Arabidopsis thaliana: one gene and its partners. The protein of the gene in region 1 interacts with the protein of each later gene in a pairwise test. Each region holds a gene or a part of one and is shown on either strand. Other genes may lie near its edges. The genes, in order: CIPK22, CRF11, AT4G13540 and AT5G02050.

The links.
Region 2: the proteins of CIPK22 (region 1) and CRF11 interact in a two-hybrid assay, tested with the Arabidopsis thaliana proteins (one large-scale study listed by BioGRID).
Region 3: the proteins of CIPK22 (region 1) and AT4G13540 interact in a two-hybrid assay, tested with the Arabidopsis thaliana proteins (one large-scale study listed by BioGRID).
Region 4: the proteins of CIPK22 (region 1) and AT5G02050 interact in a two-hybrid assay, tested with the Arabidopsis thaliana proteins (one large-scale study listed by BioGRID).

What each region holds. Positions count from the first base shown.
Region 1 is NC_003071.7:16,111,767-16,119,193, forward strand, and holds CIPK22 (CBL-interacting Serine/Threonine-kinase), read right to left. Parts: upstream 3,439-7,427; coding exon 2,143-3,438; downstream 1-2,142. Other genes in the region: AT2G38500 (2-oxoglutarate (2OG) and Fe(II)-dependent oxygenase superfamily protein), read right to left, coding at 5,844-6,080, 6,176-6,500, 6,767-7,275.
Region 2 is NC_003074.8:9,471,147-9,479,373, forward strand, and holds CRF11 (Integrase-type DNA-binding superfamily protein), read left to right. Parts: upstream 1-4,265; 5' UTR 4,266-4,672; exon of another isoform or gene 4,673-4,772; 5' UTR 4,773-4,905; coding exon 4,906-5,904; 3' UTR 5,905-6,444; downstream 6,445-8,227.
Region 3 is NC_003075.7:7,866,496-7,874,010, forward strand, and holds AT4G13540 (golgin family A protein), read left to right. Parts: upstream 1-2,824; 5' UTR 2,825-3,400; coding exon 3,401-3,764; intron 3,765-3,840; coding exon 3,841-4,109; 3' UTR 4,110-4,295; downstream 4,296-7,515. Other genes in the region: AT4G13530 (uncharacterized protein), read left to right, coding at 313-999, 1,935-2,060; AT4G13550 (putative triglyceride lipase), read right to left, coding at 4,756-4,836, 5,094-5,219, 5,676-5,756, 6,085-6,198, 6,301-6,382, 6,472-6,585, 6,865-6,944, 7,021-7,066 and 3 more.
Region 4 is NC_003076.8:401,223-408,662, reverse strand, and holds AT5G02050 (Mitochondrial glycoprotein family protein), read left to right. Parts: upstream 1-4,316; 5' UTR 4,317-4,418; coding exon 4,419-4,703; intron 4,704-4,811; coding exon 4,812-5,170; intron 5,171-5,264; coding exon 5,265-5,424; 3' UTR 5,425-5,684; downstream 5,685-7,440. Other genes in the region: AT5G02065 (uncharacterized protein), read right to left, coding at 1,178-1,408, 1,532-1,954; AT5G02070 (Protein kinase family protein), read left to right, coding at 443-883, 1,062-1,449, 1,541-1,600, 1,684-2,768; AT5G02060 (Uncharacterized protein family (UPF0497)), read right to left, coding at 2,889-3,083, 3,185-3,317, 3,625-3,755; PRA1.A1 (prenylated RAB acceptor 1.A1), read right to left, coding at 6,192-6,295, 6,410-6,481, 6,570-6,658, 6,740-6,826, 6,924-7,002, 7,096-7,136, 7,343-7,440.

The DNA of each region.
Region 1 (7,427 bases):
ACTTGGAAGAAAAGAAAAACTGATTAGTTTTGGAAAACGTAATTAAGGTTTCGAGTTTTATATGTTAAATTGAAGAAAACGCGTGGTGGCGGGAGTGATTTATGGTAATTGGTAAGCATTAAGCAATGTGATTAAGACTAACAGTTCTGTGTCATGTGTGTTAGTTAATCGTGGCTTGCATTTAGACAGCGAAGCATGCTCATTGGTCAGGATCATTGTGTTTCATTGGTATTATTTTTAAGAGATTTTTCTATATCTATTTATCTATTCTATGGTGATAATGTTTTCTAATCTATATGGTAATATATGGTTTTAGGATTTGGGATGTTTAATCAATTCCATAACTTTTGTGCTAAGAATGGAATTGTTCTTCACAATCTTTTTATGGAAAGCTTTATATCAAAGTCTGATTGGAGAATTTATGGACAGTTGATTTGTTTTTTTTTTCTCATTGGAAGATTGTGTTTTCTGTATAAAGGAATGTTAATTAACTTTATTACATAACAAGAGTTGGAAACAAACATTATAAAAACTGAAATTTGTTATTTCTTTTTAGCAAAAAAAAAACAAAAAAAAACAAGTTCATTGGAAATTACTTGGAAATAGATTGTTGTCATTTGTCAATATGAAGAGCATAAGTAAGAACTTCCATAAGTCTAGATCAATGATGTGTGCATTAGAAGTACCAAATCATTCGAGGCAGTTTAAGTTCCCATTCTAATTGGACCAATGACGAAGACCAAGGCAAAGAAAATCTTAAAGATGCTTTCAATGATAAGGGGATGATTCAAGACTTGTTGAGTCCACTAGAGAAGTTACCTACGGAGTTCAAATCCAATCCATTTTGAGTCTATTGTCCGACCAATAACTGTAAAAACAGTTATTTCTGTTTTGTTCTTAGCTCAACAAATATAACAACAATTTTGATCTTAATGGAGGAAGAAGGTTTTAATGTGAGAGACTTGTAATGGCTTTGGGAACTTATTAGAGTTCACATTTCACAACCTTTTTTTTTATCGAAAAGAAAAATAAATAAATAAAACTTTATAGAGTTCAACGTGATGATACAATTATCAACATTTGCATTGACCACCACCACACTAAATCTTCTGAGCTTGGCGTTAGCGTCACGTCGAGTTACGGTAGGGTCGTGTGTTTGACGTGAGTTTGAGATTTATTTTTTGTTTATTTTAATGTCATTTGTTTTTCAAAACACACAATTTAACTTTGCTAATTTCATAAGAGTATACTTATTTCTTATCTCTGATAGCTTCGATAGACTTACCATACACTTAACACGTAATTACCGACAGCTGATATTGCTTTATAACAATCCTCTCTCTCTTTTTCTATGACGTCGACTAATTTAATTTGCATAGTAAGTTTTTTAATGGGATCACACCACTATCCAAATAACATAGGTTATCTAGTTCTGTTATAGAAAGTTACTGAATATATCTATGTCAAATCAAATGTATGCGTTGGAAGCTATAGTTTTTGTATTTCTAAAATTAGCATTGGACCACAAACTCCCCAAAACAAATAAAACATTGATGCTTTGGCTAGAATTTTGTGATCTATCTTATAGACTTGTACGGTTATATATACCAATCATGTTTTAACGGAATTGCCAAGTGGTAATCAGCAGTGACAACTATTCGTTAATCTGTAACATTCATATATATGTTTTTAATACAAACTCAAATAAACATTCATACATAAAAGATCCTGAAATACTTCGTACGATTGCCAAACAAAATCAACAACGATAAATATTACAAACGGTGTAGCATGTCCCTTAGCGCAAAATAAGGCCCAAGTTTGCAAACACACACGGTCACACATAAAAGGCTACAAAGTTCAAATCAGAGTTTTATTCAAATTCTCTCCGATGAATAAAGCAAATAATTTTTGTGTTTAAATTATACTCCGAAAATAAATAAACAAAAATAATTGAATCCCGGTTTGTTTTTTTCTTTCTTCTTGTCATTTTTATATACAAAGAGGCGGATCGTCCCATTACTCTCCCTGCTCCAATGTAAACCGAACCGGTTAACCACAATGCGTCTCGATCCCGAGTGTAGTACGTTGAAAATTCTAAAAGTAAAACGCACGGATTGTTGGTTTAGTGTTGAAACCGTTTTACGGTTTGTCAGGAACTTTATAAACCGGTTGGTTAATCAAACGACGTAACTTTTGTCTAAGAGCATCGGCCCAAACCAAGCCCACGTCTCTTTGCTTGTTCTTCATCTCCACCATCACTAGTTCATTTGTTAGCCGGCGAACTTTAACGACGACATTAGCTACTCCATGTGGACCTTCAAGCTTTATCGCTCTCTCCTTCTTCTTCGCGATTCTCAAATTTAACTGCTTCGCAACTTCCTCGACCTTCCTCATAATAACGGCCGTACTCTCATCGGATACAAACTGGTCGCAATGATCCGGCGTCACGAAATTTCCAAACAAACCGGAGAGATTCGAGCTCGACGCCGAAGAAATCAAATCGAACGCGTTTAGAATTTTACCGTTTTCTTCCAGATCGTAATCATCGGCTTGGATTCCGATGATTTCGCTTGGATCTACTCCATGATTGAACCACGGATCCTTTAGAATCTCCTCCACGGTGATTCGCAGTTCCGGATTTGGCTCCAAGAGACGGCGGAGGAGTTTCCGCAGATCTGAAGATGTCCAATCCGGTAACTTGTATTGAGCCTTGTGGATTTTCCGGTAGAGTCCCATGATGTTTGGATCACGAAACGGCAAGTAGCCTGCGTTGAGAAGAAACAAAACGACGCCGCATGACCAAATATCAGCTTTAGAACCGTCGTAGCCTTTCTTCAAAAGAAGCTCCGGTGCTACGTAAGCCGGAGTTCCACAGAGCGTATGTAGCATTCCGTCGGGGTGGATCTGCTCCTTCATCGCACTGAGACCGAAGTCTGAAACCTTCAGATCTCGATTCTCGTCGAGGAGGAGATTCTCCGGCTTCAAATCACGGTGGAAAACTCCTCTTGCGTGGCAGTATCTCACGGCGGAGATCAATTGCCGGAAATATTTCCGGCTAAGACTCTCTGTGAAACGGTTGCTGGTGACTCTTGAGAAGAGCTCACCACCTTTGGCTAGCTCCATGACGAAGTAGATCTTCGTCTTTGTGGCGAGGACTTCGGAGAGGAGCACGATATGAGGATGACGGAGGCGGCGCATGACAGATATTTCTCTCTTAACGTGCGCCGTTAAACCGTCTTTCAAACGTTTTTTTTGTACGACTTTGATCGCAACGCTTTCGCCGCCGTTTTGAAGATCCTCCGCTTGGTAGACTTTGGCAAACGCGCCGCTACCGAGGAGCTTACCGAGATCGTACTTACCGAACAAAGCCGACTTATTATCATCTCCGGTGACGTTAACAATGATTGATTCGGAAGAATTAGAGTCTTCGGCCATTAACAAACAAACAAAAAAAACAGAGCAAAAAAACAGAGTAAAGAGAAACAGTCTAGGAATTGTAAAAGACATGCGCGCGGTGCCTCTTCTTATTGAAATTCCTCAACTTGCCACGTAAGTAAGCTATTATTTTAAACAAAGATTTTAAAATAGTTTGACTTTATTATAAAATGCATTAAACAAATAAATGAAAGAAACAATCTTCACAAAAGACAATTTCAAAATGCGATAACATTTTCGATTTTTACTAATTTGAATTAGTTGCGATATATCAACCAGGTTAGAGATAGAGTCATTTTCTCCTGAAATAATTTACGATTCAAGGAATTTTCATGATTCTTTCCCCAATGTGTGGTTCATGTTGTTGTTACCAAACATCTGCCTTGTCAGGTCAACCAAAACCTTCTAATTCCAGGTGGGATTTAAAGTCTTAATTTATTTGTTTTTGTAGGAGCTGGGAAAACTCGACATATTTTTTTTTTTTAAACGTTCATCGTTGACAAAAATAAAAACTTTATCAAAAATAAAAAGAACGTCTATATAAAAATATTTGAATAATGTGAAAGAAAAAAACAACGTGGATTGACGTTACTTTGTATAGAATGCTAAGCAGTATACATGACGATGTTTTAAGCTTCTTTACCGGTTAAGATGGTACTTTAGTTCTGAGGATATGATTTGGTTCTTAAAACATAAGAATATATATTCATCAGGTAGAAGTGTACAACCAAATCAAGACAAGTGAACCGGACCAAATTTTATGTGAACTATATCTCGCAACATTGCATGTGCATGTAAAGATGTTTAGACACGAATGTTATATCGTGGGTACAAATCAACCATCCTTAATTCTGATGAAATTGTTGGTCTTTAACCGCATCCAACCGTAGCAACCCAATCAAACCAAGAACATTATCCAGTCAATAAATAACCTTTAAATTTGAGTGACAAAATAATAACATTTAAATTTGAATGTTGTTTGAAATTCAATGCCACATATAATAATTACTTTTTAATAGCTGGAAATTTTGTTATCTAAGGATTAATGATGGGCAAATTAAGTTTTTCTTATAATTAATTTGAAGTTGGATTCGTGGATCCAAGTCATTCGTGTGTGGATTAAAATCATACTAGTACCCCTTTTGTTGTTGAAAAAGCCAAAAAATTAATCCTTACACGTGAACTTGTTCAAAACATTATCATAAACCTGTAAATTTTTGACCAAAAACAAGAAACCTCTAAAAAAAGAATTAGGAAATATGCAAAAGCAAAAACTCGACAAAGTAAAACGAATAAAGAAAACAACTCTTGCTCATTCATTCATGTGTTCCAATATGTAGGTGTTAGCTTTCGTAACGGTATTTACTATCTATTTGCCTTTTAGTTTATTGACTTTATCTGAATGAAAATTAACACCTAACAGTCGGCAGTAATACCCAACCAAACTTCAAAAGTTATCTCGATTTTATCGTACGGTCACACAGTCATTTAGACTATGACATCCGGGCGTCATTGTGGAGTCATACCCAACCGGAAAAACCAACCATCGAATCATCACATCGAATATAATGCCCAACCGCCAAGTCAACTTATTTATGTGCTATATCGATCCATTTAAAAACATCAATTCTTTTGAAAAACAAATACATCACCATTGCTTTATTATTGAATATTGATCTTCTCATTGTTATCGTCATCAAGAATAAAGACATCTACTTCAAAGAGACACCGTCTTTACCACCGTGATGGTGTACGTCAGCCATCGACATCGTCCGTACACCCACCCTCACTCTTAATTTAAGACGTTTCTTCTTTCTCACGCATCGTCATATATTGTGTGATTTCTTTAAAAATGTTATTAAAAAAACTCTACGAAGCAAAGTTTGTAAAACCAACCGTCAGAAGATTTCTACGACATTTTGTCTTTGTTTACGAAAAGAATTTAACAAAAGCATAAAAAAAAAAATTGATGGTTTTATGATTAGACAAATTTTTTGATCTAACTCAAAAAAAAAAAAAAAGTCACATATTGAGGCATTGCTTTTGCTATTTTCTCAAAGTTTTAATTAGGACATTACATTACATCTTTTTTTTTTATGACAAATTATTTTATCTCAATTCACAACCCCATCAGAAGAGAGGAAGAACGTATTCAAGAACACACGAATTGCTTACAATGAAAATTTGCGTTAATATCCAAAGTCGATATGAGTCCAAACAAAGGAAAAACTCAATCAGTTCTATATTGGCATTCTTTTTTTAGGAGCAACAAATTTTTATGTGTTGGGTTTACATATACAACCGAAGCTTACACCTAGTAGATAAACACATTTTACCCGTTGATCATCCACGATTCAAATGAACGCATCCCTCCCACAAAAAGAAAATATACATATATGAGTATTCTAAGCGGCCATTCGTGATCCATAAATCCAAAAACATTGGAAGAAAAAAAGTAGGAGGAAAGCAGTGAAAATCTGATGGGTTAAAGAGAATGTTTTGGAGGTTGTTGCGATAGAAGTGTGTGATAAGAAAAGAGACATGCACTTGAGCTCTACGGAGAAGGAAGTGGGCGAGCCATATGCATCAGGATGATAGATGATTTCTCCTTGACGACATTTGAATTCTCCTAAACTCCATTCCTATAGTTCCATAGATTTATTACAAAATTACTATACAATTGATTGATCACATCATATAACAAATATATAGTATTAATTTAAGTGTTCGTTCATACCTCAAGCTGACGACCAAAAGTGACAAGGATAGTGTCGGGATCAGCATGGAAAGAAAGTGGACCTTTCCCTGAGTTGACGCGGAACTCGCAGTTCTTAGCCGGAAGGTGAAGGCTGAGTGTATAATGAAGCATTTCTTCGGTCCTCTCTTTGGGCAAAGGAGGGCTTTGCTCAGTTACATTTTCATGATTGTACCTGTAAACGCTAAGCACAGATTCTCCTCTTTGTATCTTCTTATCATTTGGTCTTCTTGAGTTCTCTACCATTATTTGCCCTAGTTTCCTCGCTATATCTTCAAGTTTATCAGCTACATTCTCCATTTCTTGGCTGCAACCAAATTAAAGATTCAAGAAATTGGAACCAAATTCTCAATCACTAATTATTTTTTTGCAAATGCAATGTTCATCAAAAATTTCTAAAATGTAATCACTAGTTCAAACGAAACTTGTATAACCAAAACGAATGTTATAGCCTTTTTGTATTGATTCTTCACAAATTGTTATTTAGCTCTAGTTAGTACTTCATCTACCAAAGATCTCTCCATAACACAATCAAACAGAGAGTGACAGAAAGGCCCATTAAGGGCCCAATACCTGAAGCAGCGGTATCTTTCCGGTCCGATATACTCGCGCGCCCATTCCATCCTCTCCTTCCACGACCGTACCCACACGATCTCGTCTCTGTTTCCGACAACACTCCGGTGAAACCCGGTGTCTCTTCCCTCCAAAACTCCGAAAACCCGACCCGATTCCCTCACAAGAGACCTCAGCTCCTCCCCAGATATCCCATGATAACTCACACGAAACGCCCCAAACTCTCTCGCCGATCGCACCAACCGATCCACCGAACCTTCTCTCCTCGACGCCAATAACCTAAAATCAATCTCCGCCGGGATCAGATGACGTGAGCCGCAAGATTCACCTCCAGAATGAGATTCCGGAAGCGTGAGCTCAGGAACCTGAATCGATCGCTCAATGATCTCGGTGAGAATCTCGCTGGCAGCGCAACGAGAGCCTCTGGCTCTAGGGATCGGAGACGGAGGAGGAGGTGGTGGAGTCAATGAAGATACGTTCAACTGGCTCCTGGTTCGCATCAGAGCCATTGGAGAGAGCGAAAGGATCCGAAGGTTTCGGGCGGTTCTAAATTATGATCCGCCCCAAGAAGAAAGAAAAATCAACAAGACTTGTTCGATTATTAGAAGAAGCACATTTCGTTGTTGTTTTATTTATTTAATTCTTTGGTTAGAGAAAGTGA
Region 2 (8,227 bases), on another chromosome or scaffold:
AAAAATTGGTATCGGCTATATTTTTAGAGTATATGTAAGAAATAACTTTTGACTTCAAAAGAATACACAAAATAACCTTGGACCAAATAGTATTTGTCGGCTACAGAAATTTTGGCAATAGTTAGTCTATTTTAGCCTTTCTCTTTCTTCTTCCTTCTTTTGTTTCTTTTTCATCTTCTTTACGAGACTTTAGCCATGGAGTTCTCTTTCTCTCTTCATCTTTAACACAATTCATCTTCTTCAGATTCACCATGTCATTTTCTTTTTCTATTTCTCTCTCCCTCTCCTAAAATAATCTTCACCACCTCTCATAAAATATATCATCATATCTCTTTATTTTGTTCACCTACATGTTCTCTCTTTCTTTTTCCATAGAAATCTCTCTATCTCTCATTCTTTATTTTCTCTTTTTACCTGAATTTTCCGTCAATGTCGTTGTGATATAAGAGATTAGATTTGATTTTAAAACAAATGTCTGATTTTAAAATGCATGTATTTTAAGAACAAAACATGTTATTAACACTGATATATTAATATTTGTCATGCTATCCAATAAAAACTCATGAAATAAATAAATATTTGTCATGTTATCCAATAAAAACCCATGTAATATTGTAACAATTCTATATGTTTTTTTAAACTTCGCGATCTATAAGAGAATTGCATGCTTTTTATAAATATTTCGTGCTATTTCTGAGAAACACATTATTTCAGAGAAACATATATATCGTGTATATATATTCTGTATGTATTTTAAAGAATTGCATGATTTTTGTAAATATATCATGCTATTTTAGACAAATACATATAAACTTTATAACTAAAGCCAATGGCATTATTGTAAAAATAAGTAAACACAAGGATATTTTTGTATTTTCTCTTTTTCAGAAAATGTTATTTACCTAACTTTTCTGACACAATGTCATTCTCTCAATTCTTTTCCATTTCATAGTTAGTTTCTAATATTACCCATATTTTTATATACATAGAGATCTATATTTTTATAATTTAACAAAGACCAAAAAAATTTGGCCAAACAACAAATAAATAAGGAAGACTAAGAACTTGTGAATTGTGATCATCGTTAACGTGGGGAAGATTTTCTTGCGATTATTATTCCTAGTCTTATTTATTTATTTATTTCCACTATCAATTTAAAATGACACGTAAATTTGTAATGATTTTTCGAATAATGTAAGCACTAATTGATATTGGTGTTTTAACTTTTAACAAAAGAAAACAAAGATCTACATATGGGCCTAAAGTAAAAGCCTTTTAGTTAAGTACATTATAATTGGGCTTTATATCTTAACAACGTCGAATCAATTGTAGGGCCGACGTGGGCGGCTAAGCTGTTTCCAACTTTCCAACTTCCGACCAGCTCCACTTGTGTCTTTCGCTCTCTCTACACTTATGTTTTTTTTTTTTCAACTCTCTGTTTTGTCTGACGTGTCCACTTACTAATAATTTTTGAAAAAACTTTCCACATATAAAAATTGCTTGATGGTCGTCGTCGATGGCTGCATTATTTATGAATGTATTAGTCCACATGGTGAAATGTCTACATTTTAAACACCACGTGACACTGATAATCCGACACTTGTATGTGTGAAATCAATGTAATGATCCCTTACTCTTTCTTTTTTGTTTTTCTTTCAATAGAACAAAAATATTGCGAATTTATCTAATAATGTTTCTGTAATACTAAAATTATTTTAAAAGTTTTTATTTAATATATTGTTAATTTGTCTAAATTTTGTCACGACCGTTTTTCTTCATGAATAGTCTTTGACGTAGTTGAACATCCATTTTGTATACACTGTTATAAATTTGCACACATTTTGTGTTTCAACAATTTTTAAAAAGTATATATGTAGTGTACAACTTTACTTTATTATTGCTTTACTTTTTTTTTGTCTATTGTCGTTGAAAAATGACATCAAATGAATCTGTTGCCTTCCTTACGTAGGAAACGTTTTGTTGAAATAGTAATAATTAGTAAGGGTCATTGTATATTGGTGGAGAAAATGTTTTTCTTACTTCTGTAATTGCATCGTCTTTTCTTCACGTAGGGTAGGCAATCACATGCATTCAGGCGTGCGTTCACTGTTTTCTTTTTTCTTCTAGCTTTTTGTTTTCCTACTATATTGTTGCAGAAAAATGTTTAGTTTAAACTAAATTAATTATCCAACTCTTTAAAGTGGCAATCTTGTAAATAAAAAGGGGAGTAGGTCTGGACCAATGTGGCAATGCGAGCGATATGTTAAAAAAGCTGTGGAATAAACAAAATTTTGGAAATTAGGAGTTCCTTTCGTTTTATGGAATTGAAAGAAAATGACACTTTCAATATTTTTTTGGTATTTCTTTAGTAAAAAATGTTTTAAATTTTTAATCGATCGAATCGTAATGAACCTTACAAAAAAATCATAAAATTTGAAGTTGATATATAAATTTTAATCTAGAGATGTTAACTTTTTGGATTAATCTGGAAGCGACCTGTTTTAAGTTGTTTCAAAACTATTAGGACCGAAACCAAATAGAATCGAGCAAAAAATGTTAGAAATTTTTATTTTATTTTGTGTTCTTTAGGTTAACCAAATGTTCGTTCATGGTGTAAGATATCAAATAATGGATGAGCTTAACCTCTAAAATACAAGTTTAAATTGATCGGTTCAAATCGGACCGAACTTAAATGATTTTGCAAGTTATTAGAGTGATCATGATCATGTTATGTTACGGAATATTACAGAGTAACTTAACTTAAGCACTGACTTAGTTGACCCAAAAAGAGACCATTGACTTCATGAAATGCTTGAGTGTGGAAAAAATAAAACAGAGTTATTCAAAAACGTTTTGAGTTGTGAATTATTCTCATTAACATTGTATTTATTTGGTGCACAAAAAAAAAAAAAAAAAAAATTGTATTTATTTATACCCACTAAAGATGGGAAGAAGACTTGTAAATTATGATGAAAAGTCCCTCGGTTGGTAGCAACTAGCAAATGTGGGGATGGAACAATCCTCCACGTTCGAAATTGTTCTTCTTTAGCACAATCAAGATACTGCAAAGTAAACTACCTCTAATGTAATTAATTAACCTCACAAATTGTTATGTTAATTAATGGTATTGAATTATACTCGTCGATCTTTTGTAAGATATTTTTGTTGAATGCCGAAAAAATTATCAGAATCTATAATTGATGTTTTTGTTTAAGAGTCAATTTGGGAGAATGAGTTAAATTACTATAGAATACAAGTATACATCACATCAAATAATATGAATAATTCACTAAACAATGAAGGAGTAGTTACTAGTCACTCTCTTTTATTTATTTTTAATTAAAAAACGAATATATATGTTATTGTAGTTTAATACTATTAATAAAATAAAATTCTATTACTTCACTTAGCTAAAAGACCCACAGTGCAGTAACAGTGAGAAGTAAATTTCATGAATAATGTATTACAATACAATAATAACTTGTTCGATACAAAGTATTATTCCTTTCACAAACTAAATTTATTTACCATATATCCATAATATAATTCCAAAAATAGTATGTTTTATTACCATATTGTAAAAGGGAAAAATGTCATTTAAATCATCACTTTACCATTTTCGTTGGTTTAAAACATAAACTCTCGATTTGGTGATTTAAATCCTCAATTTTATGTTGACGTTTAATTTAATCACGAATTCTCGTTAACTAAGCCAATTAAGACACATCGTTAAAAAATTTTCTAATTAAAATTTTTGAGTTTTTCTCTATTTTTCTTCAGAATCTCTTATCTTCTTTGGAATTTCTCTTCTTATTCGAATTCAAAGTAATCTTTCATCTTTAGGTCGATTGACGATACCGGGAAAAAAAATTGTGTCTCAATTGGCTTAGTCAACGAGAATTTGTAATTAAATTGAAAATCAACATCAAATTAAGAATTTAATTCACAAGATCCAAAATTCATACTTTAAACCAACGAAAATGATAAAGTGATAATTTAAAAAACATTTTCCTTATCCCTATTGTAAAACTATTTTCACCAATCTTAACCGAAAAAATGAAATAAAACTGTCCAAAAAAAAAAAACCAAATGCTAATAAAAAACGAATTTAATTTCCCATCTTCGTTTTTTTTCTTTCTTTTAATGCTTTAATAAATTTTTATTGAGATCTGTGTTTGAACAATCGTTTCTTAAAAGATTTTTAACATCTTTTTAAATTCCTCGGTCTCTTAAATTTACCAGTTACATAACTTTCTTTTATTTTTCCGACATAAATTAAAAGTTTTGTCTTTGGTAATAGAGAGGCAGAAAAATCTTGGCCATAGATTTGTCATCTGTTTTCGATTCGTTTTGATTCTTTACTTTATCTTCTTCTTCTTCTTCTTCTTCCTCTTTTTGAATCTTTTATCTTCTCACTTTTCTTTTTCACTTTTGGGAAGCTCGAAGAGCTGAGAGGAGTGTGAGAGAGAAAAGGATCTTTGAAGTCGCCGGAATAATTTGTTTAACCGGAGCTCTGTCTTTGACTCTACGCTTCTCTCTCTTCTTCTTCCTTCTTCGTCTTCTTAATCGCTTTCTGCTCTGTTTTTCTCGTTCATCAAGCTACATCTACTAGCTCTCTCAGTGATTGATTTCTCACAGTTTCATCGATTTCCATGCGTTTAAGACCTAAAAGGTAACTGGGTTTGCTAAAGTTTGTTACTTTGAATGGTTTTTATAGTTTCTCTGTTCGAATCTGAAGTGGGTTGTTGTGTTTTTGCTGGTTATTGAAACAGGACTTGTTCTGGGGTAAAGGACTTTTCTTGTTCTTGAGAGAGTTCATTTTGAGGCTTTTCTGGGAATTTTGAGAGGTTTTTTAGGGTTTAAGGGGGTTTGGTTTTGAATTTCGCACACCAAGTGTTCGATAAAATGGCTGAACGAAAGAAACGCTCTTCTATTCAAACCAATAAACCCAACAAAAAACCCATGAAGAAGAAACCTTTTCAGCTAAATCACCTCCCAGGTTTATCTGAAGATTTGAAGACTATGAGAAAACTCCGTTTCGTTGTGAATGATCCTTACGCTACTGACTACTCATCAAGCGAAGAAGAAGAAAGGAGTCAGAGAAGGAAACGTTATGTCTGTGAGATCGATCTTCCTTTCGCTCAAGCTGCTACTCAAGCAGAATCTGAAAGCTCATATTGTCAGGAGAGTAACAATAATGGTGTAAGCAAGACTAAAATCTCAGCTTGTAGCAAAAAGGTTTTACGCAGCAAAGCATCTCCGGTCGTTGGACGTTCTTCTACTACTGTCTCGAAGCCTGTTGGTGTTAGGCAGAGGAAATGGGGTAAATGGGCTGCTGAGATTAGACATCCAATCACCAAAGTAAGAACTTGGTTGGGTACTTACGAGACGCTTGAACAAGCAGCTGATGCTTATGCTACCAAGAAGCTTGAGTTTGATGCTCTGGCTGCAGCCACTTCTGCTGCTTCCTCTGTTTTGTCAAATGAGTCTGGTTCTATGATCTCAGCCTCAGGGTCAAGCATTGATCTTGACAAGAAGCTAGTTGATTCGACTCTTGATCAACAAGCTGGTGAATCGAAGAAAGCGAGTTTTGATTTCGACTTTGCAGATCTACAGATTCCTGAAATGGGTTGCTTCATTGATGACTCATTCATCCCAAATGCTTGTGAGCTTGATTTTCTCTTAACAGAAGAGAACAACAACCAAATGTTGGATGATTACTGTGGCATAGATGATCTGGACATCATTGGTCTTGAATGTGACGGTCCAAGCGAACTTCCAGACTATGATTTCTCAGATGTGGAGATCGATCTTGGTCTCATTGGAACCACCATTGACAAGTATGCTTTCGTTGATCATATCGCAACAACTACTCCCACTCCTCTTAATATCGCGTGCCCATAAGTTTTGCAGCTAGGTGTTATTATTAGCTATAGGAGCAACGTAAAAAGCTCGTTGTTACTCGGTTTTGTCTTAAGTTATTAAAGTATAGCAGAGGCAGTTAATCTCAAGGGAAGCAAAAACCCTAAAGATAGAAGCAGATGCAGTTTTGTGTGTTGGTGTTACTAAAGAAAGTTTTGTTGACATAATGGTTTTGATGTTGTGGAGAAGATAGAGAGGTGTGATCGAAATTGTAAATCTCAGGTGGTTTTTTTTGAAGGCAATTGTTTCTCATTTAGGGTTTTTTTCTATATGAGGATTGTCTTTGAAAAGCCTTTAGATGTTTTCTAATTCGTAAGCTCTCTCAATCTTTGTAAGTTTTGCCTGTTGAGTTATTGATACATATGTGAGACCTACTTTATTTGTTTTGTGCTACATACATTGTTGATGGTTTCGTCCTCTGCTCTTGTTAAGTCATTGTTACCAATGTTTGATTGCTGTTTCTTTCGGGTTGATTCAGTCAGACATGAAGATAACTAGATAAACCGTTTGTTCTCTGCAATCACTACCTATAGAGTTAGGGTTTAGGCTTATCCTCTTTTTGCATTATATCAGTAAAGTTTTCTTTAAAAGTTATGTGAACAAAAACACATAATGCAAGATAGAGAGGTTAATGGGTTTGGTTGATGATAACAGTAGGACAAATTATCACCGCTCTAATTGCGTTGGTTCTTAAACCATTTCTTTTATAATATTTAATATTTGATCTAATTTTCTTAAAGCAACCTTTGCGTATATTACAAGTCTTGCCAAAATTTTCAACTAGTTCCATCTTTGATATAAAGAGTATATAGTGGTGTGTTCTTTTGTGTCAAGCCATCTCTCAACTTCAGACTGTAGCTGCTTTTGGATTTTATTAGTTTCGTTTTAGTGAACAGAATTATGGATATACATTGAATTGAACGTGCATATTCATTTTGTTTTTGTTTTTTCAACAAATTAAAATGAATTCTAAGATGTTTTTGTTTTTTTGTTAATTGAATTCTTAAGATGTTGACAGAAAATAAATTGAAGTCTTAAGAATAATTGATTTGAGATTTTAAGACTTGTACTTTTCTTTGGAGATTGGAGATTTGACATGCTCGAAGTCGATGTATACAATTTGGTTTTTTATCAAGTGTCATTCTCATTCGATGGAGCTTTTTTTTTATCAAAAACGTGGAAATTAGTGATTTCTAATGATCTGAAATAAAAATTGGGTTTACTTCCATGGTTTTTTTTTGGACAAAGGGGTTTACTTACGATCAAGCAATCAATTACATAGTTATTCTGGATTAGTCATTTGGTAATATTTAGCATCTTATGAAGAATCTTAAACACGTCCATTATACAACTAAATATGTTGCACCATTTGATGGAAAAAAAATATGTTGCACCAAAAAAATGATCCAAGATGTTGAAACTTGAAAGAAAAAATCGAATAATAATAACAAATAGGCTTTCTGGCTTTCTATGTTACTGAAAGGCCCAATGCACGTAAACGGAGAGCCCACATTACAAATTAATAATTTTTGTTGGGCTAGTGAGACCATAACGCTATCATACGTTGTAAATCTGTACAGCAAGTTAACAATTACAATAATAATCAGATTTTACACTCTTTTATAGATAAGTCATGGTCAAGACTCAAGAGTCAAGAGTCAAGACCAACAATCAATGGCCTAGCTTGTACAACAAAAGACTTAAGGCTATATAGTTTTAATCAATTAGAGTCACATAATTCACAAATATCAACGATTATACAACGGTTGTTATTGAGTAGTTAAAACATGGTTGATATAGATTAGTGAGAAAATATTGATTGGTTGACAATATATGAAAGTGAAATTATCAAAATGATATTATACATAAGTTTTTAAAATATATCCAAACTCATTTTTATTATAATTAGAAACTTTTTAAAAAATATAGACCGTATGTGATCTATTTTTATGAAACTTAATAACAAAATTTATTTGAAAATATTAGATTGTAAAAAAATAATTATTCATTCTGTAGTTTCCGGTTAAAAAATGTGCAGAAAGATGAGTTTTTAGTTTGTGGGTTCAGTAACATTATAAGCTAATATTTTTTTATTAGTTGATTACATATTATTCAAGGATTACATATGTTGATGAATCCTTTAATTTACTCGTGTTAACAATAATCCGTAATTTTTTAAGACGTGAGGGATACATAGGAGAGATTTCCATCGAGATGCATGGTTGTTTTTGATTCCCTCACTCCTGATAAGATAAACTAGAATACGTTTCGACGTCAAAATATTTAAAGATTTGCTTAACTGAAA
Region 3 (7,515 bases), on another chromosome or scaffold:
TGCTTCCTCTCCCTCCAGTTTCAAGTTGAGCATATCTGATTAGCAAAAGCGGTTGAAGGTCCTCTACTTCTCGGCCCACCGTAACAACATACACTGTCAATCCATATAGTTATCATAAACCCACACGTCAACGAAACCACTCTTTTGACTTCATCCTCTATCCAATCACACCACGCCACGTTAACACCACGACCTAGTGTTTCTGTGATCTCCACACAGAGAAAGAAGCGTTTCGGTTCTGTTTTCGCCCCAACACAAAGACTCCTTTTGTTTCTTTTCCTCAATTGGATCGAAAAAACCCCTAACTTTGACATGGAAGGAGAGATTCAAGACTGGGAAATACTTCAGAGCTCGAGATCTACCACGGAAGATGACAATTCGAGGAGCTTGGAGGAGATTGATGATGGCACGCAAGGTATGATTAGGTTTGATCATTTCTCTCTTGAGAACCAGAGTGGTTTGTCTCGTTTGGAGGCAAACGATGAAGATGGGTCTGTTCAATCGGGTAGTCCAGGATGGATCGAACCTAGCTCCGATGTTCCTTATGGTCCGAAGCATTTTAGTGAGTTATGGTCTGATTCAAGCAGTGATCGGCTTGATGATCAGAGGTTAGTGGATGATGATGTGAATAACGAGATGGGTATAGAGAGAAACGAAGTGGGTATTGTTGAATATAGTGAAAGTATAGCTCAAGACATGGATTTGATAAGCTCTGATGAGAGAAAGGAAGAATCTTTACTTCATCCAGTGGAAGGAGAAGGAAACTCTGTTTCTATTGATCCTGGTGTTAAATCTGGTGGTGGAGGAGGAGAAGAGAAAGGGTTTGTGTGGTGGAAAATTCCAATAGAGGTGTTGAAGTATTGTGTGTTGAAAATTAATCCTATTTGGTCTTTGTCCATGGCTGCAGCATTTGTGGGTTTTGTTATGTTAGGGCGTAGATTGTACAATATGAAGAAGAAGACTCGTTCCTTGCAGCTTAAGGTTCTTTTGGATGATAAGGTAACTAGCTTGGTTTATTTGATTGTTTATTGTTCTTTGAGTATGTTGATTCATGAGTCATGTGGTTACTGTATGATCTTTTGGTGTGATATGAGCTCTGCTTAGTTCAACTTTTACTGCTTAGTTAGATGTTTTATTAGTGTCAATTGTTGTTTTGATGGGGAAAATGAGAAGATCAGATCATCCCCTTGTTTGTCCTGGGACCAGTTTCTTGTTGCTAAGTAGTTTAGATGCAACCAGCGACTCGAGGTCATAGTATTCACCAACAGGCATACACTCGTACCCATTTACACTATCTTGCTAAGGGTTTTTGATATAGCACCACTGCATCGGTTGAGTTCTTGATAGATACTTTTGGCATAGAATGTGTAGTTGGTGAGAGCAGTGTTAATAGTCGTTAGAATACCACCTGGGTGATCTATTTCTTTGTCCGTCCTCTCTGTTGTTTCATCTCCTATAATGCTTAAACAACATATTTTTTATTTTTACATTTTGAGTTTGCATGTTCTTTCTAATAGCTAAAGGATAGTTGAAAGATCTTTAGACTAGTTTTCAGTAGTTATTCTTTGTAGATTTTTCATGTTGGTAGCCAGAGATGGAAGTTACTATATATTACGAATCTTATCGTAAAATGTTTCTTTGAGGAATGGATAAAAGTAGTGGTAAAACCTGAAAGTTTAGTTTAACTGATCTTCCACTGGTACAAAGCCTCAGTAAGGACCCAAGTTTGAATCCTGCTTACGGTTGCATATAACTTGGCGGATCAAATATGTCTTTTGCTGCTGAAATTCACGTTCTTGCTTGACTTGTATTCATCTTTTTCACTCATGGCAATGAAGAACAAAAGTTCTAAGTATTTCAGAACACAATTCGGAAGATTTTTACACCATCTGATTCTTGTATTGTCTGTCTTTTGAATGAAATACTTTTTTCAGAAGGTGGCGAATCATGCTGCTCGGTGGAACGAAGCAATCTCGGTAGTGAAACGTGTGCCCATAATCCGGCCAGCACTTCCGTCATCAGTGGGTATGAACCAGTGGTCCATGATGAGTTTAAGGTGAAAATTAAGTGAATTTGAGGGCATAATAATGCATATATGTGAGATTATATGATTTGATGTGGTTGGTGCATGTATCATATGATTGTATTAAAAATGTTACAAAAACATACAAAAAGATGCTTGTAAGTTTGTACTGTGTGTGTATATATTGTTACTTGCTTGGTGGAATACAAATTGGATCAGAATCATAGTGCAGTTTTGGAAGGTTGCGGTCAGAATCTAACCTTGATAAGCTTCTGAGCTGGTCTTAGTAGGCAGTGTCGTAAAGAGATTGTACAAAGACAAAAGCCAATAACGGAATTTTGGTTGTTTATTTAGAAAGTACGACTCTTTAAGATATGAAAAGGGTTAAGACAAAAACCCAAATTAACAGGGAAGTTCACGTGAAGAGGGCAATGTTTCTGATTGATGTAGCCATGTAGGAGTCTATCTTTCACTTTATAGCTATCCTAAACTCTACGATGTCAATTGTGATTAGATATATGTCTCTTCTTCTTGTTTCTTTGTCTTCTTTCACTCTATTATTCGTTGACCATTGTACCACCAAAGTTTGGTATACTCACTTATCATACTTAAATCACAAGTGAGTATTGTAAGGAACTAAGGATCCAAAGCTAAAGCATACTCATGAAGTTTAACTATTGACGTTTAACGGAAATAAAGCAAACCAAAATTCGAACTTCAAGATAAATCTACCCATTGTCTTCACGTAACATACTCAAATTTTGGTTTGCTATGTTTGATTCGGTCTATAAAAACACAGACAATAACTTAAGACCTATGTAACAATTTCCTCCATGAGAAGAAGACAAATTAGACCAAAAGTTTGAGAGAAACCTATAAAACCTACAAATATTGGGAAGAAAAAATAGGAGTAAATAGGTATGGGTCCATGTTAATGATGCATGTGACAAACAATCAAAGCCCACACCATTAATTGGAGATTGAAGAAAAAACACTGCTTTTCATATTCTGTAACACCACTTCAATTCCTTTTTCTCTTGTTTCCTATTCAGTACTATGTCCTGAGAGTGCCCATAACTTCTTTTGTCTTTTTATCTCAGTTTCCATAAGAAATAATCAACTCAAGCCACAATGTGTGTTTGTGTGATTAGTTTTGTGATAAGACATTCCATAATTTTCCTATTGTGTGTTTAGGATAAGTGAAGATGCTTTTGGTTTGGACCATATTATATAAATAACATGTGTCTGCAATGCCGCAAAGTGGAGCTTTCTTCACTCACAATAATCATTTTTTTTTTTCATTGAATGAAACAAACAAGACATTCAAAATAGAACAAAAGTTCTACAGAGATAGAGAGAGAAAGAGAGCTTTTCTTCATGGGTGGTTCTACAAGCAAGGATGAGAGAAACAGTAGTAAGAGACGCATCAAGGTGAAAGCAAATGAACAGAGAAGGAGAGAAACAAGAAGAGAGCTTGATGAGAAAGAGAGAGTGATTTTGGCGTTGAAGATGGCAGAGACAGAGTGGAGGAAAGAGAGGAAGAGACTGAGAGAGGAAGTGAAGAGGCTGAGACAGAAGATGGAAGAGAAGGAAGAAGGAAAGGCGAAACAACACGAGTGGGAATGGGTCGTGGAACAGATGTGTTTAGAGAGAGCAGTGAGGGAAGAAGCTGTGGAGAGGTGGAAGCAGCTCTACTTTGCTATCAAGAATGAGCTTGATGATCTCATCCACACAACATATGGTAAGACCTTTCACAAATAATCTCATCTTTGATGTTTTGAGAAAGGAAGGTAATGAGTTTTTTTTTTCTTTTGTAGGAGAGGCACTGAGACAGAAACCGCAAGAAGAAGTTGCAAAGGCAGTGCAAGAACTCAGAAAGGAAGTTAAAGCTAGGGGAGAAACCATTGAGACACTGAAAGGGAGAATAAATTTGATGGAGAAACAACAAAATGGGAAGGAAAGAGAGATTGACTTACTGAGACAGAGTCTGCGTATCCTCGGCGGTAGCAGCGGGAAGAACAAGGCACTATCATCTACTACCAGAAACCTGACAGTATTCAAAACAAAATTCATCGGGTGTAAATAACTGTTTTAGTCATTTGAAGTTACTTTTCCACAAGGATTGCTGTATAAGTAGACTCAGTAAGCTTCAAGCAATAATAAGCCATTTCTTTCCTATCTCATGACGCTAAAGAAAGTTGTATATACTTCACAAGTAACATATCCAGCATCAAGAAAATCTAATGGAAAAGAAAAACGGTGAATGATCAGGGATTAAGATTGTTGTCTCCAAATTGATCTAAGATTATGTAGAAACTTAGTACGTAAAAATAAGAACTGCGTGCAAAGGTTCCAAAACAAACGAAAGCTTAAGGATTGAGATAACTTACTTCTCCCGCAGCTGTTCTCCTGAAAAGCTCACAGATGCAAATAATGCTGAAACTAGCCAACCGAGAGGCGAGGTCCGAGGTGTAACGGTCCCTGTTAGCCAAAAATAACATTCCCTGCAAGGTCTCCCTGAGCATGCAGTGAGAGTATAATGTTCAAATTTCATCTATACGCATTGTGATAAATTCCAACCATCTTGTCCCCTTTTGATACCATGTCTACGTTTAAGTTTACACGACTGAACCACAGATCACTATAAAATAATTACAATGGATGCTTGTCTCTTGTATATAGTATACAGTGTGAATCCTATACAGCTGAAGCGAGCCACTACATGCTCTCACTTAGCTCTCTCCCACTGATTGGATAGTAGTACTTTCAACGCCTTTCGGATCTTCAACAGTTTTGTAATATAACTTCACACTCTGAAAAGATTGACAACAAAAAATGATGCCAATGAGATATGGAAATTACTAGCAGTCTCAAACCAACACATGCTCCATCCAAAAAAGGGTTGGCGATGTTTAAATGTCACTATCCTGTGAGGGACTGAATCTTTCTAACTTTAAGTCACAGTGTAATTCTTGAAAACAAAAAGGAAAAATGCATGGAGTTATACGTTGTGTTATGACAACTTATCAATAATCAGCAATTGCTTAAGTGGCAACAACAAAGTACCTACCTCTAACAATGTGATGTAATAGAAATCCTCCATGTGCTGCATAAGGGCACTTCCATCACGAAGTGCATTGAATATTTTAATTTCCGTTTGAAGTATCTTCTCAACGAGTTCCTTCTCACCTTTCATCTGAAAGAAAACATCCATTTAATCTCATGTCAGGAAATCACTCATTTTCTTGTTCAAGGAATATTTTTCACTATATTTTTTGCCTCTCTACATCTTCTGAATAATACCCATACATAAGCTTCTGAATCCCAGAAAAGATAGATAGTATGAAAAAGACTACGCAGAAGGAAAACAAGTTTTAAGTTCATTGACGCATATGAAGCCATCACAATAAAATAGCTGCTAGTAAATGTGAACCTATAATTATAGGACAGTATTAGGAGCAGCTCTTAGGAAATAATTCAGTTTAGAGATCTCTTTTTTTTTCCCTATTAAATTATTAGCTATGAAAAATACATAAACCCAACAACAAACATATGCAGAATTTATGAGAAACACAAGCAGGAAAATTAAAACTAGAATCATGATCAAAAGGAAAATGTGAAGTAACCAGAGAAAGAGTGTTAGAGCACTTACAAATCTACTAACAAGAATATCGGGTGTCGCTTCGCCAATCACCTCAGCATGATAACCATCTTTCTGGAACTCAATATCCTCCTGCAACATTTTAATCACCTTATATTGGAAAATCATATTGTATAACTTACAGAGCTCGTACTGCAGAGTAAGGCCAAAAAGGTAGTCACATTCAAAGAAATATTATACATCACATATCGTTTTTGCAGGTTATACTAGATACTTAGCCAGACAGAATCAAACAAATGACAGTTGCTATATAGAAGACCAAATGTTTCCAGTGACAACAGGCAAGACAACACAACTAGGAGCATGAATCATTTACAATCGCATAGAATAGCACCTCGAAGGAAAAATAAGAAATAATGATCTGAGTAGATTAGATAGTGTGATCAAAGGGCAGGCTTACCACATCTCCAGCACTGAGATAAACAGGATGAGCAACATGACAATAGCCCATTAAGCGAGGGACTGTGGGAATTATGTCTCTATGGTTTACAACTCTCCAGCTGTCTTTTACTTTCTGCGAACGTAGAAAACATATAAACCATGAGGTTTTATGACGACGTGCCATCTCACTCCCACTTTTCAACTAAAAATTGTTATGTTAGAAGAAGCATATGACCTGATTATAAATTTCAGCAAATTGTTTGTTGCCTACTCTTGGAGATCCAAAGTTGTACATGGTAACAGTGATTGCCCCACGTCTAACAAGCACACAAATCATGTTAAATGCCCATTAAGCTGCTTGTCGTCAGGGTGATATGTAGGAGAAGGGAGTTCTCAAAGTACTTACTTAGCTAATTGGCTGGACGAAAGTTCGAGAGCCAAGAGTGTAGCTAATGCGCCACCCAAGCTATGACCAGTCACATAAACATGCCATTTATCTTCACGCTCAGTAACATCGTCTCTGCCAAGGGGTGAGAGAGAGAGAGAGCATGTTTATTAGAATTGATGTAAGATTTTAGCACACCTCGAAGACGTAAAATTTCAATCACTATATTGTACTGTCCTGAGCAAACAAAATAAACTTCATCTATAAAAAACATTCCAAGAAGACAGATTTTGGCACGTTCACCAATGACAGACAATTTTCTTCCCAGCACAGGATGCAACCATTGAAACAATAATAAGTAACAAAAAATTCCCTGAAAAGGAGAAAGTAAAATGTAAAACAAGAAGCACCTACATGTAGCCAATTGTCATTTTGAGCAGCGATATAATTCTTATCCTTACGGAATCGTATGCACTCAGAAATCCACTATGGACCTGCAAAATCCATAACAGCATTAAGGAATAACTCAATAAACGGCATACCTGACAAATTCCAGGGTTTAAAACATACCTGTACTTCTTGCTTGAAGTCCCCGCCAATTCGTTCAGGATTCAGACTGCAACATATTTAAAATGTCAAACAAAGAGATGAATAATAACTTATTAAAACTTCAAATGTGCAGATTCAACTAGCTTCTGAATCAATGTAGAGATGCTGAATAAATAGACAGTACTAACCCAGCAGGAACTAGCATCAGATCAGTCTGCAAATCTTTCCACTTTGTCTGACAACATGAAATACTGACAATAAGAACGATAGGAGAAAAATCAACCACATAATATTAAGATGATATAGATAAATACCTACCTGTTCAGTTCCTCTGAAAGCGATAACTACTCTTTTCCTCCTTGCATCACGCCAAATTGCCACCTGCAGCTTGCAAATTAGTATATCACTATCTATCATGAACTTGTATTTTCAGGAAAATTTGTCGAAGACAAAAGATTCACCTGTGTGTCAGTGATGTCGTTTTCTAGAAAGCATAGCTTTTCAAACTCAGATTTG
Region 4 (7,440 bases), on another chromosome or scaffold:
AATTACTCGTCCTCAACCAAAATGAATAAGAGATGTAGTGAAAATTATACTTGTCGAAAACGGTCCAGTCTAAATTGATAACGCAAAATCGAGTAAAAAATGAACAGTCAATAATACTTGTCGTTGAATAGTAAATAAAAGTAGAAAACTTAGGAAACATGAAAATGTCGGGATGATCATGACAGACAATGAATCTGCACAATCTTCCTTAGAAAATACAAACATGATTTTGAGAAAATCCAAACCAATCCTCACATTTTCTCGTTTCAAAACAACTCGGGAATTGCTTTTGTTTACTTTACTAAGATATACGTAACAAATGTATAACCACAGCAATAACATAAATAAATAATAATGACCTTTCATTAGTACATAAACCTAAACTTTTACTCACATCTTTTGATCACTAATTGTCCACACTCTTAATTAGTTATACAACAAAATGGAGAAGAAGCGATCATACTACGCCTTATTGATACCTACTCTCTTGACCGTATGGCTAGCATGCGCGGGTCATTCTTGTGCCCGACATGCTAAGGCAAAACCTCCCATGGCCGGACCACCACGGTGTCCTAACTGCGGACCTATGGTTGTACCTTATCCTCTAAGCACGGGTCCAACCTGCGGGGATCAAGCCTATAGGATAAATTGTGTTGGTGGTAAGCTTTATTTCGGTGCCCTCCATGGGTCATCTTATGTCATTACGTCCATCAACTCAGTGACCCAGCGGATCGTTCTACGCCCGCCTGGTCTTGCTAGCTCAGTATCCTGTATCTCAGCTGATGTCTCTAAACAGGGCCTCGAGCTCGACCCCCATCTCCCTTTCAGCATCACTAGTAGCAACACTATCTTGCTCCTTAATTGCTCTCAGGCTATGCTGCAGGTAAAGCAAAAAAGTTTAGTTGGTTTGGTGTGAAGATTGTAGAACATATTGGTTTATGATCAAATTTGAGATCAGTTTTAGTTTGGTTATTAGGTTTGGGTTCAATGAAAGTAGATTTCGATTAAAATGTAATGGAACCCGGTTTTCAGGACTGACCAAGAGATTTTGGGGTCTGCAGGCGCCAATAGATTGTAGTCCTACCAGCTTATGTTACAGCTACATCAAGAACAATGCATCACCTTGTTCTAAGGCTCCCTTGTGTTGCACCTTCAGAACCGACGGGTCTCAAACCGCTTACACGATCAGGATCAACGGTGGGGGATGCCTCGCGTACCAAAGCTTCGTGGGGCTGAATCCAAACAAAGAGGTTCCTCCTCCCGGGAAAAAATGGCCTGACACGGGGCTCGAGTTGCAATGGGCATTGCCTAAAGAACCAGTTTGCAAAACTGATGTAGATTGTAACCTCTTGTTGGGTAAATCAAAATGCTTGCCTGATCCAACGAGTCTCGGCCTGAAACGATGCTCCTGCAAAAAAGGTTTGGAATGGGATCCGGTTAACGCAATATGTAAGTAAACTGCATAACAAGTGAACTATTCAAAACAAATTTCTTGAATCAGATCATTGTGATTGATTAGTTCTTGGCATACATGTATTAGGTGGTAAATGTCGCCATGGGAAACACTGCAAAAAGAAGAAGAAGACCGTTGTTTTCGCAGGTACAGAGGATGAACCGAAAAACCAAAAATATATTCAAATGCCCATATGATTGTACTCCATTTTAACTTCTTTGCTCTTGAAGGTGCGGCTGTTGCGGTTGTGGGAGTTACGCTAGCGATTGCGGTAGCAGTAATTGGAACCAAACATAGCCACCAAAAGGTTAAAAAGGATATCCACAAGAACATTGTTAAGGAGCGAGAAGAGATGCTTAGCGCAAATTCCACTGGAAAATCATCAAGAATCTTCACTGGCAGAGAAATCACGAAAGCAACCAACAATTTCTCAAAAGACAATCTCATAGGCACTGGAGGTTTTGGAGAAGTGTTTAAAGCTGTTCTTGAGGATGGAACCATAACCGCGATCAAACGAGCAAAGCTTAACAACACCAAAGGCACTGATCAGATCCTAAACGAAGTCCGGATTCTCTGCCAAGTCAATCATAGAAGCTTAGTTAGGCTTCTCGGTTGCTGTGTTGATCTTGAATTGCCTCTCTTGATCTACGAGTTTATTCCCAACGGAACGCTGTTCGAACATCTCCATGGCAGTTCAGACCGTACTTGGAAACCGCTGACTTGGCGGCGCAGACTGCAGATTGCATACCAAACCGCTGAAGGATTAGCTTATCTCCACTCCGCAGCACAGCCACCCATTTACCACCGCGACGTAAAGTCAAGCAATATTTTGCTTGACGAGAAGCTAAACGCCAAGGTTTCAGACTTTGGGCTGTCAAGACTTGTGGATTTGACAGAAACCGCTAATAACGAGAGCCATATCTTCACGGGTGCGCAAGGTACATTGGGATACCTCGATCCAGAATACTACCGGAATTTCCAGCTAACTGATAAGAGCGATGTGTACAGCTTCGGGGTTGTGCTTCTGGAGATGGTTACATCGAAGAAGGCGATAGATTTCACTAGAGAAGAGGAAGATGTGAACCTGGTGATGTATATTAACAAGATGATGGATCAAGAGAGATTGACTGAATGCATCGATCCACTGCTGAAGAAGACAGCTAACAAGATTGACATGCAGACGATACAGCAGCTCGGGAATTTAGCATCTGCGTGCCTTAACGAACGGAGACAAAACCGACCTTCGATGAAAGAGGTTGCTGATGAGATTGAATACATCATCAATATTCTGTCACAAGAGGTTACTGAGACATAGCTGTCTTAGAAAATTACCAAAATGACTTGTACCCTTGCCCTGTTTCCGGTTATGGATTGGAGAAAAACAATTCATAGAAATGGATTTTTGTAAAATCATTGAGATGGGTTTTGTTTGATATCATATCAAGATCCAAAACATGGTATGAGACGATATAGCAGCTAAAAACCAATTAAAGAAAGATAAACCAACAGAAATCTGAAACCTATCGCAAGAGAGAGCGGGTTGCTGCCTGCAAAACTCAGTGTCTTTAGTGAATAAAACAGTAACTCCTGCAGAGGAACACGCGGCTGCAAGAGCGAGAAGTGCAGTGACCTGCAGAATTCCAAAAGAAACCTATCAAACAAATAACCTTTAAAACAACAAGACACCAACAGTGAATAAGCATATAATGAAATGGAAGATAAGTTTAATACCCAATCACCAACAGTGAAAAGGCTCAATAAGATAGGGCTTCGTAAATCACTTTTTCTCCTTATCGCATATACATCAAGACACGCAAGTCCAAAGCTCCATATCAATTGAAGACCCATAGATGCGACTAAGAAGCTGAAATCATTGGCAAAAGCAATCTATCATCATTTTGTATCTTTTGAGATAACCCCATACAGTAATCGAAATATAGAAATAATTCCATTTCCACATATTTTTTACCAAACAAAGAAAAAAATCTTGTCAAAGTTTCAGGCAAATGTTAATCATACACAATTACTAGTTCAGTTAGCTCTATCTTCAAAAGTTTATCCAAGAAAAAACTACAAAGTCAAGATTTTTGATACATCAGTGTCCAATGTCTTCAACTAAACTAAACTAAACCAAAACACCAAGACCAATGAGATTGAAGATGGACAATTACCAGAAAGCAGTGTAATTGGAAAAGTCGTAAGAAGAAACCATAACACCAATGGAAGCAGCAGCAGTTGCACATTGCCCTAGTCTCAGTATCAACCCACTCATTGTTCCAGGACTCCCAATCATCTTCTTCATTGATCAGAACCCAAAAACAAACACAATAAACAGAACAAAACCAAGACTTTCTATCCTGTTCCTCACCAAAATCCCCGGGAGAAAAAAATCGCTACTTTACAGGAAATTGATCATAAAAACCCTAAACCCATAATTTTATTCAGGAAAATTTCACAAACCCAAATCTCAAAAGTTGACTTATGATCATAAATCGTACGGAATTGGGTAATTAAGAGCATCGCCACCAGAAAACCAACATTAAAAATGACAACTTTTTTGAGCTATATGAATTTAAAAACAAGTATCTACCACAAATTTAATTCTGCTTTTTTGGAGGAACAATTATGTTTCCCTTAACTTCAAGCCAACGATATTAAAATTGAAGTTGGAAGAAACAGTGACGCAATTCTGACGCCGGCAAGAGCTATTTTGTTCTTCTCTCCTTTTGCCTTTAAGGACGTGTCCACACACAGACATTCCTCTCTCACTGTACGAATGACCAATTCCTTTTAATATATGGGCTTCTTATGGCCCATTAAGTAATTGGGCCTTATTAAATGGCTTTTTATCTCCTACATAATGCTTTGCACTATAAACAAACCTTAAACCTCTCTTCTTCTCTCAGTAAAACCCTCATTTCTGTTTCTCTTTTCACTTTTAAGGAAAACCCTAGAATCCTCAGAAATGGCGTTGAGCACCGTGTTTCGTCGAGCTTCGTCAACAGTAGCCAATCTTGCTTTCCGTGCGGGTAGATCTCCGGTTAGCTTCCGCAGTGGCGCTGTCTCCGTCGAGAGGCTGATTCGTGGTAGCCACCAGATCAGGCGTGGATCGGTTAGTTCATTCTCAGTCTCGAGCTTTTCGACGGAAAGTGCGATCTCTAAAACAACCGCCGACGAGAATCTTGTTAGCGTTATCGAATCTGAAATCGAATGCGCCGTCGCAGAGGAGGCTCCTCATGACACTGACTTCGTAAGTTCTCTCTTTCAATATACATGATTCTTCTCGAATTCATGAGATTTTAATATTTCTGGGGTTTAGAACAATTGTATCTGAATTAGAAATGTTTTGGAAAAACAGTTGGAAGATAAGCCAGAAGGGTTTCCATTTGAAATCATTGATAATTCAGGGGAGAGAACTGTGTTGCTGACAAGGAAATTTGAGGATGAAACCATCCAAGTGGAAGTTGACTCTGTTGCTTCTTATGATGATGAAGATGAAGAAGAGGAAGCAGAACCAAACAATGAAGAAGACGATGAAGATCAAGAGAGCTCGGGTAAAGTCCGGGTTCCGATGGTTGTTAGTGTGCAGAAAGGTGATGGTGTGTGTCTTGAGTTTGGAGTCAGCGCATACCCGGATGAGATTGTGATTGATAGTTTATCGATCAAACAACCGCAAGGATCTGATAATGACCTTGCTTACGAAGGACCTGACTTTGAGTAAGTTTACTTCAATGATAGTGAGTTCTTGTTTGGAATATATGAGATTGGGGTATTGTTATGTGATTGAATTTGGTTATTGTGTTATGTGCAGTGACTTGGATGAGAATTTGCAGAAGGCTTTCCACAGGTACTTGGAGATCAGAGGTATTAAACCAAGCTTCACTACCTTTCTGGCAGATTATGTGGCCAACAAAGATAGCAGAGAGTATCTTCAATGGCTCAAGGATCTCAAGTCTTTTGTCGAGAAGTGAAACTGAACTTTGTTCAGAGAATAAGAGCGAGATTTCTTTTTGCTTTAAACTTTTGAGTTTATCTTAGATGAACTTGATATCACCATGAGCAATCGTTGAAAGTGAGGTCATGTGTTATGCTTGTTAACAATATTGCTACATGTTTTTAATGGGTTTTTAGGTACTTTGCTAGATATAAGATGCAACTCTTTCGAGTGTCAGTTGGAAAAAATGTTACGACCTCAATAAAGTATAATTCTTTTGCATTTTCCCATTGCCTATTCTTATCCGAAAACTCTCGGCTAAGTAGTCAAATCATTTGTTTATTTTCCATTTCTTGTTATCTCATTATTATTGTTACTAGACCTCTCAACCCAAAAAAAGAAAGAAAAAAATGCAAGCTATTAAACGATTCTAGGACTTTACACAAAGGGTTTTGTGTTAGAACGAAGAACAACAAAGCTAGCTTTACAAGTCTTTAGCAAAAAAAAGAGAGGATTTTGCTAGCAAAAAGAGCTCAGAGCTCAAATCTCAAATCAAAGAAAAAACAGATGATCCCAGTCATTGAGCAACAAATCCAGATTGAACATCCATAGTACAGTGTTAACGAAACCGGGTTTATCTTGGAGAAAGGCAGTAAGTTTGGTCTTTACAGCGTTATGTCCTCAGCAGAACACGATCATGGTGGTACAAGCTGCCAAAGACTGTCAACATTTCAGAAAATCTAACCATCCAGTTAAGCAAATAGATGTTAGACTAAGAAGAAGATATTTCAAACTTACATTACTCTAAATCTCGCTGTAGTTACGCCATACTGCTCGGAATTCCTCCCTAAATGTGTTAAAACGTGCCTTCAAGTTCGGTGTTCTCAAGCTTGCATGAAGAATTGTTGCTGTAACACAAATTACAAAAAGAGGTTGAGTTTATAAAAGCCTATATGTGGATTTTTGAAGTAGAGTGAGAGAAACTAAGTTATGACTTATGAGGATTTGTGTAGACTGCATACCAAGATGTGCAATGAGTAGCGCAACCGAGACTCTGAGCAAACCAGAGGAAATATACCAAAGAGCAAAACTCACTGCGAAACAAAAAAAAAACTCCAAATCATGTTTTTTACGGTTTTTGGAGATATATTACATCAAATGAAAATATACAAAGCCACATACCAAGTGAGCATGTCAAGACAAAAACCCAACGGGGTTGACCACATACATGGATTGCTCTCTTTGATGATGGACGCCCACGAGTGACAGGTCTAAAAAACACAGATAACATAGATGATAATAAGCAAGGAGTAACAAAGAGTATGAAAGGCAACAAAGAGAGATAAACATACGTCAAAGGAGGTCTCATTTTAGCAGCTAACTGTGGAGAGAATCTTCTGACGGTTCGTGTCGCCTTCTCACTAAAAGAACCTGCAAAGCTGTAGACAAGAATACTCAATATGGATCTACTGATTCAAGCATATCCACTAGTCAAAGCTCTGAGAGTTTAAAAACAAAAGGAAGATGAAGAAAAACCTGTCATTTAGAAATGCCAAACTTAATGCTGTCAAAAGCGCAGCGAAGATCGCTAAAGGCCTTGTAAGGACTCCCAATCCTGAGAAGTAAAATTTGACAATTCTAAGTGAACAAGACATCATTGATAAACAACACAGATGATAATGCTTAGCCACTTCCTCACACCACATACCAAGTATAACGACGATCATGATGAAATAGTTTGTTCGGTAGCTGCATAAACAGATCATCATCACAGGTCAAAATTAAGCTCAATACAGAAACTAAGCTATCAAGACTCTGTGTTCTAACCAAAGTCTAAGAATTCTATGTTCAATTGGGACGAATTTGATTGGTAATTCTCAACGAGAGATTGATCACAACATCAGATCCGAATAGATATGAAATTGGCGAACAAGAAAGAGAGAGAGAGATCGTACTAGTAGAGATTGCACTTGAGGCGACTATCCCATTTAGGGACAGATTTAGGAACGGTGAACCTTGAGAAGAACTCAGACGGAGGACGCGGCGGAGACGA